2 linked regions of the Schizosaccharomyces pombe genome follow. Changing the gene in region 2 together with the main gene of any one other region gives a genetic interaction. Each region holds a gene or a part of one and is shown on either strand. Other genes may lie near its edges. The genes, in order: upf1 and rex2.

Region 1 (5,494 bases), on a different chromosome or scaffold from region 2:
GACACCTTCTATCATAAAAATTGTAAAGAGCATGCTAAAAAATGCTCTCATGACTCCATTGGAAAAAAAGGTATGAGAGTACCAAAAAACGCCGTGGTGATAAGGACGCCCTTGGTGTTGGATACAACTTCTAATACTCTTAATCCTAAAGTCATGATTTCAGGATGGCAATTTCTTATGGGAGAGTTTCCAAGTGATGAACTTCTCTATTTCCCAAGATTACCCGTGAGTTGTCTCTACAAAGTTTCAGAAGACGGTCTCATCAAAGATTTTTTGTACGCGATTGGCATAGAAGCTAAAAAGTTTAATAATGAAAGGAAAAAACGAGAGTTAGAGGTTATTCCTCCAGACGTAAAAAGCGCACTACTTCCTGCGAGAACGCACCCAAACCTACCTATTGCACTACGCACTTTATTCAATAAGGCACGCACTTGAATTTTTACGATATTTTTACATTTTGTATAAAATCAGACTACGTTAATCTAATCTGTCGTGTTCAAATCGTCAGAAAAGGTTGTTTTCTGTTATTTTTTTGCTAATGTTGTATTTATAAAACCTCTTAGAACTGGCTATCTGTTGTAATTGGCTTATTTTACATTACTTTTCTCCATTAAGGCTTTTAAAAAATTTTCGTTATGCAATTAATCATTGCAAATCCTTCCTAATAGGGCAAAAGTTCTATTTTATACTAACAACTTCTCAATACTTAAATTTTATACGCGTATTGTACCGTGTGAGTATATATAAGTATATATAAGTATATATAAGTATATATGAGTAAGATGCATTTACTAGACAAAGAGGAATAAAATAAAAGAAAGTGATAAGGAAAGGTTCTATTACTAAAGTCTATTTAACAGCCATATCAATGGTTTAAAACGCTTACAGACCAAACGGTCCATAAAACTTGAACACCAAAAATATCAACAAATAAAAGATATGTTGGCATTCGTAATTACAAGTAAGCAAATACTTATTAACTAGAACCTAGTAGGTTCGTCGAACTTGCTTTCATCATCACCAACCTGACTTCTAAAGTCTTCAAAGTCGGTAGCGTTGCTTTCTCTTCGTTTGTATTGAGCAAAGACATTCCATTCTTCAAGATACGAGGAAGAGTATAAGTTCGGAAGATTAGAAAACGAAGGTAACATGGCAGAACCGGCATTCTGTATAGGAGATAGTGATCTTTGTACATTGAGGTCTCTTTTAAATTTTTGAGGTTTCTGAGGAGGAGTAAGGGTTAAGGAAAACTTTTGTAAGCTGTTCAAAGTGCCTTCAACTAAATATCCTTTTTCCTTGCAATGGAGGACAAAATGATACCATAAAGCATGTTTAGCAAGGACTTTTGGATTACCGAGAACAATTACACCATACTTTGCTCGAGTCAATGCAACGTTCAACCTTCTTGGATCGTTAACAAAACCAATACCTTGGTGTTCACTAGAACGTACACACGACAAAATAATGAAGTCCTTTTCTCTTCCTTGGAACGCATCCACCGATGCTACTTCAACAGCTTTATAAAGATCCTTCTGCATTGATCCGTTATTTTGCATGTACTGAACAATATAGGAACGCTGACCATCATATGGAGTAACAATACCAATTTGCTCAGGAAGCACGTTGCTTCTTAAAAATGTGGTAACAATTTTTTCACACGTTGAGGCTTCCGTTCTGTTTAAAAATGATGTACCGCTAGCCGACAGCTCTTCCTGACCGAAATTTGCATAAAACATTAATGGCGAATCAGGTTGTATCCATGGAAAATCAACATGTCTAGCAATACGCTCAGAAGTAGTGACACCATTTTGAAGAGTACCTTCATAAAAAGTGTTCGATGGAAATTCTGAAAGACAGGGATGCATACGATATTGCACAACTAATCTGAAAGGAGAGTTTCCTAATATAATCAGTCGCTCAAAAAGTGATTGGGAAAGGCTAGCTAATGCAACCTTTTTATTCATAACAACCGGTCCCAGTTGTTGGTGATCACCAACAAGTACTACTTGTTTGGCGCCTAAAACTAAAGGAATCATGCATTCAGGTTCTGAAGCCTGTGTAGCTTCGTCAATAAGTACTGAACGAAATTTGTACTTGGAAATCCTTCTATCACCAGCACCAACACAAGTACAACAAATGACATGAGCCGCACGTAATAGTTCTTTTTCGGCAGCAGCAACCAAAATACGCAGTTTTTTTTCATCCTGAATAGATAATTCGTTATTTTCACTTCGTAGCTTCAATAAACGTTGTAACTCTGGATTAAACTTATAGTTTTTAATTTGCTCATGAAGAGATAAAAAGGAAACCGATGATTCTATGTCTTCTCTAGACTTTGCGGCAACTCGAACGACACGAAGTCCTGTACGATGTATTTTTTCAGCAAGTTGGTCAACAGCAACATTCGAAGGTGCACAAACTAATACGGGAGAATGGGATTTACGCTTGCGTGATTGCATCGTGGCCAGGTGATAGACTACAGATGCTGAGGTGACAGTTTTTCCAGTACCTGGCGGCCCTTGAATTAACGAGAGTGGCTTACTTAATACTGCACGAACAGCTTCGCTCTGACTAGCATTCAATTTTGGCAGATTAGGCACCGATAAATCAGACGGTAATTTTGGTTTCAGGAAGGAAGGAGGGATATCGTGTCCTAGCAATTTATGATACAAAAAGCTTGAAAGACGTGATCCGTCTGTAGCAAATAACCTCAAAGCAGTCTGCATTCGATCAAATGAAGTAGATTTCCAAACATAATCGACGGAAAAATTATGAGTACATTCGATAGGTACTTTATCTGAACGCTTCAGTTCTAAACCTACCTCATCTGAAACGTTGTTAGGAATTTTAATAACATATCCTGTGGAGCTCCAGGGTGCTCTTAGTTCTCCTTCATATGTAAGCTTCATTTCATCTCCTATGGCCAACCGAATTTCACCAGATTCAAGTTTGGGAAGGAGAAACCAAGCAGTATATCGTTTATTGATAGCTTGATCCCACCGAACCACAACATCTTTTTGAGTCTGCGATTCTTTGAGTCGTTTATCATAGTCAGCCTCCGCTTGAATGAGCGGAGAAAGAACTGCTTGATACGCGTGAGCATCTTTATATCGAAGTTCTACTGAAGGTAATGAATCATCCTCAATGGGCTTATCCAAGTCTTCGAGGTTAGCATTAGGGTCTTTACGCCAAAGTTCTTCAAGCCTAACCATTTGCTGTGAAGTGATTGGGATTGCAAGCTTTTGTTCCTCTTCGGATGGAGGAGTTATCAACCATGGAAGAAACTGACGATCTGAAATAATGGGTTGCCATTGAGTCAAGTCCCAGTTCATATCCTTAGCTATGCTAGCTCTAGCACAAGGTTGTCGGCATAATAAAACAACCACTGTCTTAGCTTTTGCTGGTATAAATCCTAATAGAAACACATTTCTCGTTCCACAATTATAACACTCAAGTACTGTGTCTGAAAGAGAAGAATGGCTATGTAAAGCAACCTGCTTATGTCGAGCACGAACTAGGTGACTAATGATATGCGAAGCTCCAGATTTCCCTCTTACATTACAAAACCATTTATTACAATGCAAACATTTCAATATAGAATTTGGATTCTTTATGTGGCAATAGGCACAGTGTTCTTCAGAATATTGTTTTTCGACTAATAATTCTTCAAATTGATGCTCTAGTCCATTTTCAGAAGTCATATTTTTTGAACTAACTAAAGATGAAATATCATTATTAGGTTGTAGCCCTAAAGACATGGAAAGACAACTTGATATGTTATTAAGCCGTCAATTTGCAAAGTGTAAATAATTGTAACACATTTTTAGAAAGAAAGGTTAGTCATTTAGTGAGGTTTAATGAGTTAAAATGTGCTGCTAGGAAGCTCCCTAAAACGTAAACAAAAAACGCCGTTAATGGGAAAAACTAACAATAGCAAGACTCATTTACTTGTAAGATATTATATCTATTCAGGGTAGATAAATTTTGTCAGTTTCGAGATGATCATTTACGTTCTTGAAACAGCTGGTCGTACTATAGATTACTAAATAAGGTAGAGCACTGTAGTATTGTGACACAAATCGGTGCTCACTATTGGAATTAAACAAAATTATATAAACGGTTGCTGAGACCATGTAAACAATCATATTGAAGACTATTAATTTTTTGACTAACAGTTGTCGAAAAGTAATAAACAGATATTTTTAACTTAATATCGGACTCTATACAAATTTATTAACATGAGAGTTGTATCTACTCGCTCTGGAAGTTAGCATACCAAGTGTACCGTTACCCATTTTGAACTTTTCAAGGAGTGTGTTACTTCCACCTATACAACAACTGCCCGTGTGAAACTATCCAAATTGAAATAATTTTAAGAATTTCAGGCCTCTTAATTGTCTGAACTTCTTGGAGTTTATGTGGTGCTTAGCGGCAAACTCTTCATGAACTGAAGAGGCTTCAAAGAGGGGACTTCGAATGCTGCGTTTAACAAGTTGATTTACTTGTAAGTATTTGTTCTCCAAATCCGGGTTTAATTCCTTCTTTTAAAATTATTTTTCGTTTCACAACATTTCATTTTTCCCCACCCTGGTTTAAGCAGCTAGTGCCTTTAATTATTTGATTTTTCTACTTTCTTTACGTTAATCAACTTCGACAACAATTATAAATGGTGGGGTTAATAAGTACAAGCGAAACGCTGCCTAAACAGGAGAGTAAAAGTTCCTCAGCCCCAGTGTCTAATTTCCTTTCTCCTAATAATCTGACTGAACAGACATGCAGTCCTCTAAGAGCTCATTCTACTTTTAAAGAGCCCGTATTTCTGTTATCGCAACGCCAATATTCACACAATAGCAAAATACTTACAGAATTAATAAATAGTGTGAAAAGGCCTAACAAGCCCGATCAAAATGAAGAAAAATCGGCTGTTGGAATAGAAGAGAAGTCCTTTAAAGATGAACACTTGGCACAGAAAAAAGGATTGCATCATTTTGCAGATCTAAAAGAAATCTTTCTGAATAAAAATTTGAGTACTTTGGATGGTTTACAAGATGCATCGCTTCATGACAACATACAGAGTGGAAAATTAGACAACCCAGTTATATCTCAAAACCGTCGCATTGTACTAGAAAAGCTTGCTAATCCCAATTCCAGCAAAGAATATGAAACCATCCCTACAGTCGAAAACCGACATCCACTCAACAAATTAAGCAAGACAAAAACTTTAGCTTACGAAGAAACTATTAATCAGCTAGATGAAACCCCAGGAGGAACGAATTATCCCATGAACAAAAAAAAAACATTATCTTCTGAAACTAACAAATATGAATATCCACAACAATCGAAATTCCATGAATGTTCTCAATTTGCTTCACCACGGTCTTCTATAGTAAATGGACCCAGAACCCTCGGAAAAAATTCTAAAAGAGCTGATGATACTGCAAGAATGGCTTCGCGAATGAAACCATCCAATTTTAATAATAATATTCAGAGCAGT
Region 2 (4,565 bases):
CTAGCAATTATTAAGATGAGAAAATACTCAATGTCTATTTTATTAGTTTATTAAGGATATCTATACTTTGGCTTTTCAATTTAACCAATGCTGTTTTTTTTTGGTACTTGAAGCCGCAAGCTTTCTATTCAATTCACTACCGTGGTTTACCATTGAATTTCTCATAACTAAGATTGCCGCTCTTGACTTCAACATCGACTGTTATATTTCTTTTTTAAGAATATGCATTTCATTTTTTTGTACTGCTTTCTTATAAAGATGGAGTTCTTGACTAACAACGTGTCTTGAACAGACAACAAAAAGTCGGTACGAATCTCCTCTTACTTCAGCCATCTTTTATATCAACTTCATGATTATCTTAAGAGGAACAATCAATTTTATATGCTTAATTTCTTTCGTATATGTACAACTAGAGTCGTCACTGTTTTAAATTTTGATATACCCAAATCGTTGTCAATACTTTTACAAAATACTCATCTTTAGCTGAAAGTTACACAACGAAATCTTTCTAATTAAAAAATTGTGTTTGCAAGTACTCAGAGTTGTTTTCAATTGATATCTTTGCATTTTTTACTTTTGTTGCAAATAGTGGTACGAAGTTTCAGACGTGATTGCCTCACAAATTTTGGGGTTTCATAATTTAAACTTAAAAAATGCAGGGAAAGATATTCATACTACCCAAAGATTCTACAAATCAACAATTTGTTGAACTCTCACATCCCTTGACCGGGAGACCACTTCGTTATTTATTAACAAACGATCACCTTTTACAAATCCTTCAAGTTGGGGATTCTTCAAAACAAAGGTCTTGGTTTGTAGGGGATCATGTAGTATCGGACGGATATCTCTATGTTTGCACCCCGATAGACTTACTCGCGCTTGTGCTTCCAATCATTCAGGAACTTACTTGGAGTCGCCGGAAAGAACCGAATCGATATGTCTCGTTTGAAGACTTCATTGAACACTTTGATAATATGGGTCCTCATTATCCACGAGTGTCAGAAGTCCTCTCTCCGAATTTGTTGAACACATTACATCGGATTTGTAAAGTAAACGAGCCAGTAGGATCTTTGCCCAAGACCTTTCAACTGGATGAATCTTCTGTTGTTAAAATTTTACTAAGGAAAGCCAAGGTTGCTCAAGAAAATCTTCCCCCTAGTATTGTAACCGAACTTAAAAAACAGTTAGCGCCTTTGGACCTCCGCACGCCGCTTCCACAAGATTTACTAGAATTGTCATGCAAGTGGCATGCCGCTTCATTGGTTTGTGAAGATCTTCAACCTGAATGGTATAACAAATTAGCCTACTGGCAGGAAGAATTGGCCCCACTGCACGCTTACACTAAAAACTTAGAAGAATCAAGAAAGATTTTGGTAGAAAAGGAAGCTTTGTTAAATTCTAAAAAACGTCCACAAAACAGTGATATTACATCAAGTCTTTTAAAAAAGCCCAATCGGAAGCAGGCCACCAAGAAGTCCAAATACTTCTCAGGAGAAGGAATGACGAAAATATCTTCATTCTTTACAAAAAAGTAAGATCACCGAGGTATGATTTTGCTTTTATTTTTTTCTTAGCATAGTACCCTTAATTTTTTTGGCATGTTTACAAGATATTGTCAATTGCTGTAAAAGTGGAATTCTTCTTTCTTGAGCAATGTTTCAAGAAAGCCAATAAGAGCGGTAATGTTGAAGTTCACCAATACTTTCAAGAATATCCGACAATGCGCGATGATCACCCTTTTTATCATAAGCAGGAATATCCGGGCACCAGCGTTTGGCTAATTCCTTAATAGTAGAAACATCGATAATTCTGTAATGCAAATGTTCGATTATCTTTGGCATCTCGACAGATAAAAACCTTACGTCTGCATGGACACTGTTTCCAGCGATTAACGCTTCTCGTTTTTTTGGAATGTATTTTTTAATGTATGCTAACAACTGGTTTTCAACGTCTTTCACTGTTAAATTACTCTGTCTACATCTTTCCGTAAGACCACTTTTCCCATGTTGCTGTTTATTAGTATAATTAGAAAATTGACATCCGTGAATGAACTAAAAGCAAGAAAAGATACCTCAATACACCAGTCATTCATTTCACTCAATTGCTTTTCGTCGAGTTTAATAACAGCATCAAATTTCTACGCCTTAGTTAGTATGACAGCCTTAATAAACGCTCAACTTCGAAACCATGCATTTGTTTCTCTTGAAACATCTCAAGTTAAAAGCCGATGTTTCAATGTTCACAATTAAAAGTTACCTCTTCAACGGGGCGAAGATTTCCATCAGTAATGATTGCCGCGACCTCCATCAATACATGCTTTCCCACCTCTAACCCGGTCATCTCTTCAATCATATTAGTACAAGTTACCTATAAAACCATCGTAATGCATTTTAAAAGCTAAGATTATACTAAAGCTCACTAACCGCAATCAATCCAAACAAGGGGCTGCTTTAAATTCGACATTTTGAGGTTGGAGAATGGACTTTTCAATTTTGAGATGAAATCTTTATATTAGTAAAAGTTTAAAAACTGAGGTACACATCGACAAAAAGAAACTTAAACATGTAAATTGTAGAAATGATAACTTGATAGACTGAATCTAAACATACTCGTATTCGTTGATAAGTCTTGCTGGAAAATGGGTTTGGAAATTTGACAAATATTTTTGCGATATGTTGGCTGCAAGAAGCGCGAATGCAACGAGCTAGTGCGTTTGCTATACAAGCGTTTTTTAATGTGATATGACTGCAAAATGATTCTATTATTTAAGAATGCACCTTGCATATGAAAATACGGTATTATTACTTAATGAAAGTACTTCGTTGTAAGTTGGATTTTAATATCCGGGATTTTTTAAAATTAAAAACTTAGCTATCGATTGATTTTTGCAATGAAAACTAGTAATAGTATGTTTATTTAAACGTTTTGAAACAGTGTTTGTATTCCAAAGACAGCATTACCTAACCCCTTAATCAGGCAGGAATAGAGGGAAGTGATGCACATGACACTTCCGTAACTAAAGCACCACTAAAAACATCCGTTCCAACACCATCCACCTCTTTTCTCAATAACGGCTTGAATAGTTGTAATTTCAAGGTTTGTATAGGAGATCTTTGTGATTCAATCTAATTCATAAAAGTATTTAAACAGGAATCGCTTACAACCTAGTTTTTTGCATTCGATAGCGGAAAACGGAGACATCATATTTGACAAATCTCCAGCACAAATCGTTCAAAGATAATGAGTGGACAAAACAATGTAGTCGGTGTCCACTACAAAGTTGGAAGAAGAATTGGCGAAGGCTCGTTTGGTGTTATTTTTGAAGGGACGAATTTGTTGAATAATCAACAAGTAGCCATTAAATTTGTAAGTGAGAATCCATTTGATGCCATGCTTTGAAGCTGGATATTTTTCTTGTTTCCTTCATTACTGATTGATTTTGCTTATAGGAACCAAGACGCAGTGATGCTCCTCAATTACGTGATGAATACCGTACTTACAAGTTGCTGGCAGGATGTACGGGTATTCCGAATGTTTATTATTTTGGCCAAGAAGGGTTACATAACATTTTGGTGATTGACCTTCTTGGGCCAAGTTTAGAAGATTTGCTCGATCTCTGCGGCCGTAAATTTAGTGTAAAAACAGTTGCTATGGCCGCAAAACAGATGTTGGCAAGAGTGCAATCTATCCATGAGAAGAGTCTCGTTTATCGAGACATTAAGCCTGATAATTTTTTGATCGGTCGACCAAACAGTAAAAATGCTAATATGATCTACGTAGTAGACTTTGGCATGGTAAAATTTTATCGTGATCCAGTTACCAAACAGCACATACCTTACCGGGAGAAAAAGAACCTCTCGGGTACTGCTCGTTACATGTCTATTAATACTCATTTGGGTCGGGAGCAATCCCGTCGAGACGATTTGGAAGCCTTGGGTCATGTATTCATGTATTTTCTTAGAGGTAGCCTACCTTGGCAAGGATTGAAGGCTGCCACCAATAAGCAAAAATATGAACGAATTGGTGAGAAAAAGCAAAGTACCCCGTTACGCGAGTTGTGTGCTGGTTTCCCGGAAGAATTCTACAAGTATATGCATTATGCTCGTAATTTGGCATTCGATGCTACTCCAGATTATGATTATTTGCAAGGCCTATTTTCGAAAGTCCTAGAGCGATTAAATACTACTGAGGATGAAAATTTTGACTGGAATCTATTGAATAACGGTAAAGGTTGGCAAAGCTTGAAGTCGCGAAACGCAGAGACAGAAAATCAACGTTCAAGCAAACCACCAGCACCCAAATTGGAATCAAAGTCACCAGCCCTGCAAAATCATGCAAGTACTCAGAACGTAGTTTCCAAACGCTCTGATTATGAAAAGCCTTTTGCCGAGCCGCATCTGAATTCTGCAAGCGATTCTGCTGAACCCAATCAAAATTCTTTACCTAATCCGCCAACGGAGACGAAAGCTACCACAACTGTGCCTGATCGTTCCGGTTTAGCAACTAATCAACCAGCACCCGTTGATGTTCATGATTCTTCTGAAGAACGGGTTACCCGAGAGCAA

What was found.
Region 1: of rex2 (region 2) and upf1, a mutation in one rescues a mutant of the other (synthetic rescue), as found in Schizosaccharomyces pombe (one study listed by BioGRID).

Annotation. Positions count from the first base shown.
Region 1 is NC_003424.3:800,330-805,823, forward strand, and holds upf1 (ATP-dependent RNA helicase Upf1), read right to left. Parts: upstream 3,805-5,494; 5' UTR 3,759-3,804; coding exon 981-3,758; 3' UTR 812-980; downstream 1-811. Other genes in the region: Clr6 histone deacetylase-associated PHD protein-1 Cph1, read left to right, coding at 1-435; DYRK family protein kinase Pom2, read left to right, coding at 4,667-5,494. UniProt on the Schizosaccharomyces pombe protein: RNA-dependent helicase required for nonsense-mediated decay (NMD) of aberrant mRNAs containing premature stop codons and modulates the expression level of normal mRNAs. Also capable of unwinding double-stranded DNA and translocating on single-stranded DNA.
Region 2 is NC_003423.3:4,071,810-4,076,374, reverse strand, and holds rex2 (RNA exonuclease), read right to left. Parts: upstream 2,808-4,565; 5' UTR 2,785-2,807; coding exon 2,610-2,784; exon of another isoform or gene 2,505-2,609; coding exon 2,424-2,504; exon of another isoform or gene 2,343-2,423; coding exon 2,257-2,342; exon of another isoform or gene 2,138-2,256; coding exon 2,072-2,137; exon of another isoform or gene 2,010-2,071; coding exon 1,659-2,009; 3' UTR 1,536-1,658; coding exon of another isoform or gene 654-1,535; 3' UTR 614-653; downstream 1-613. Other genes in the region: rnh202 (ribonuclease H2 complex subunit), read left to right, coding at 654-1,535; serine/threonine protein kinase (CK1 family) Cki1, read left to right, coding at 3,241-3,366, 3,450-4,565. UniProt on the Schizosaccharomyces pombe protein: 3'-to-5' exoribonuclease specific for small oligoribonucleotides.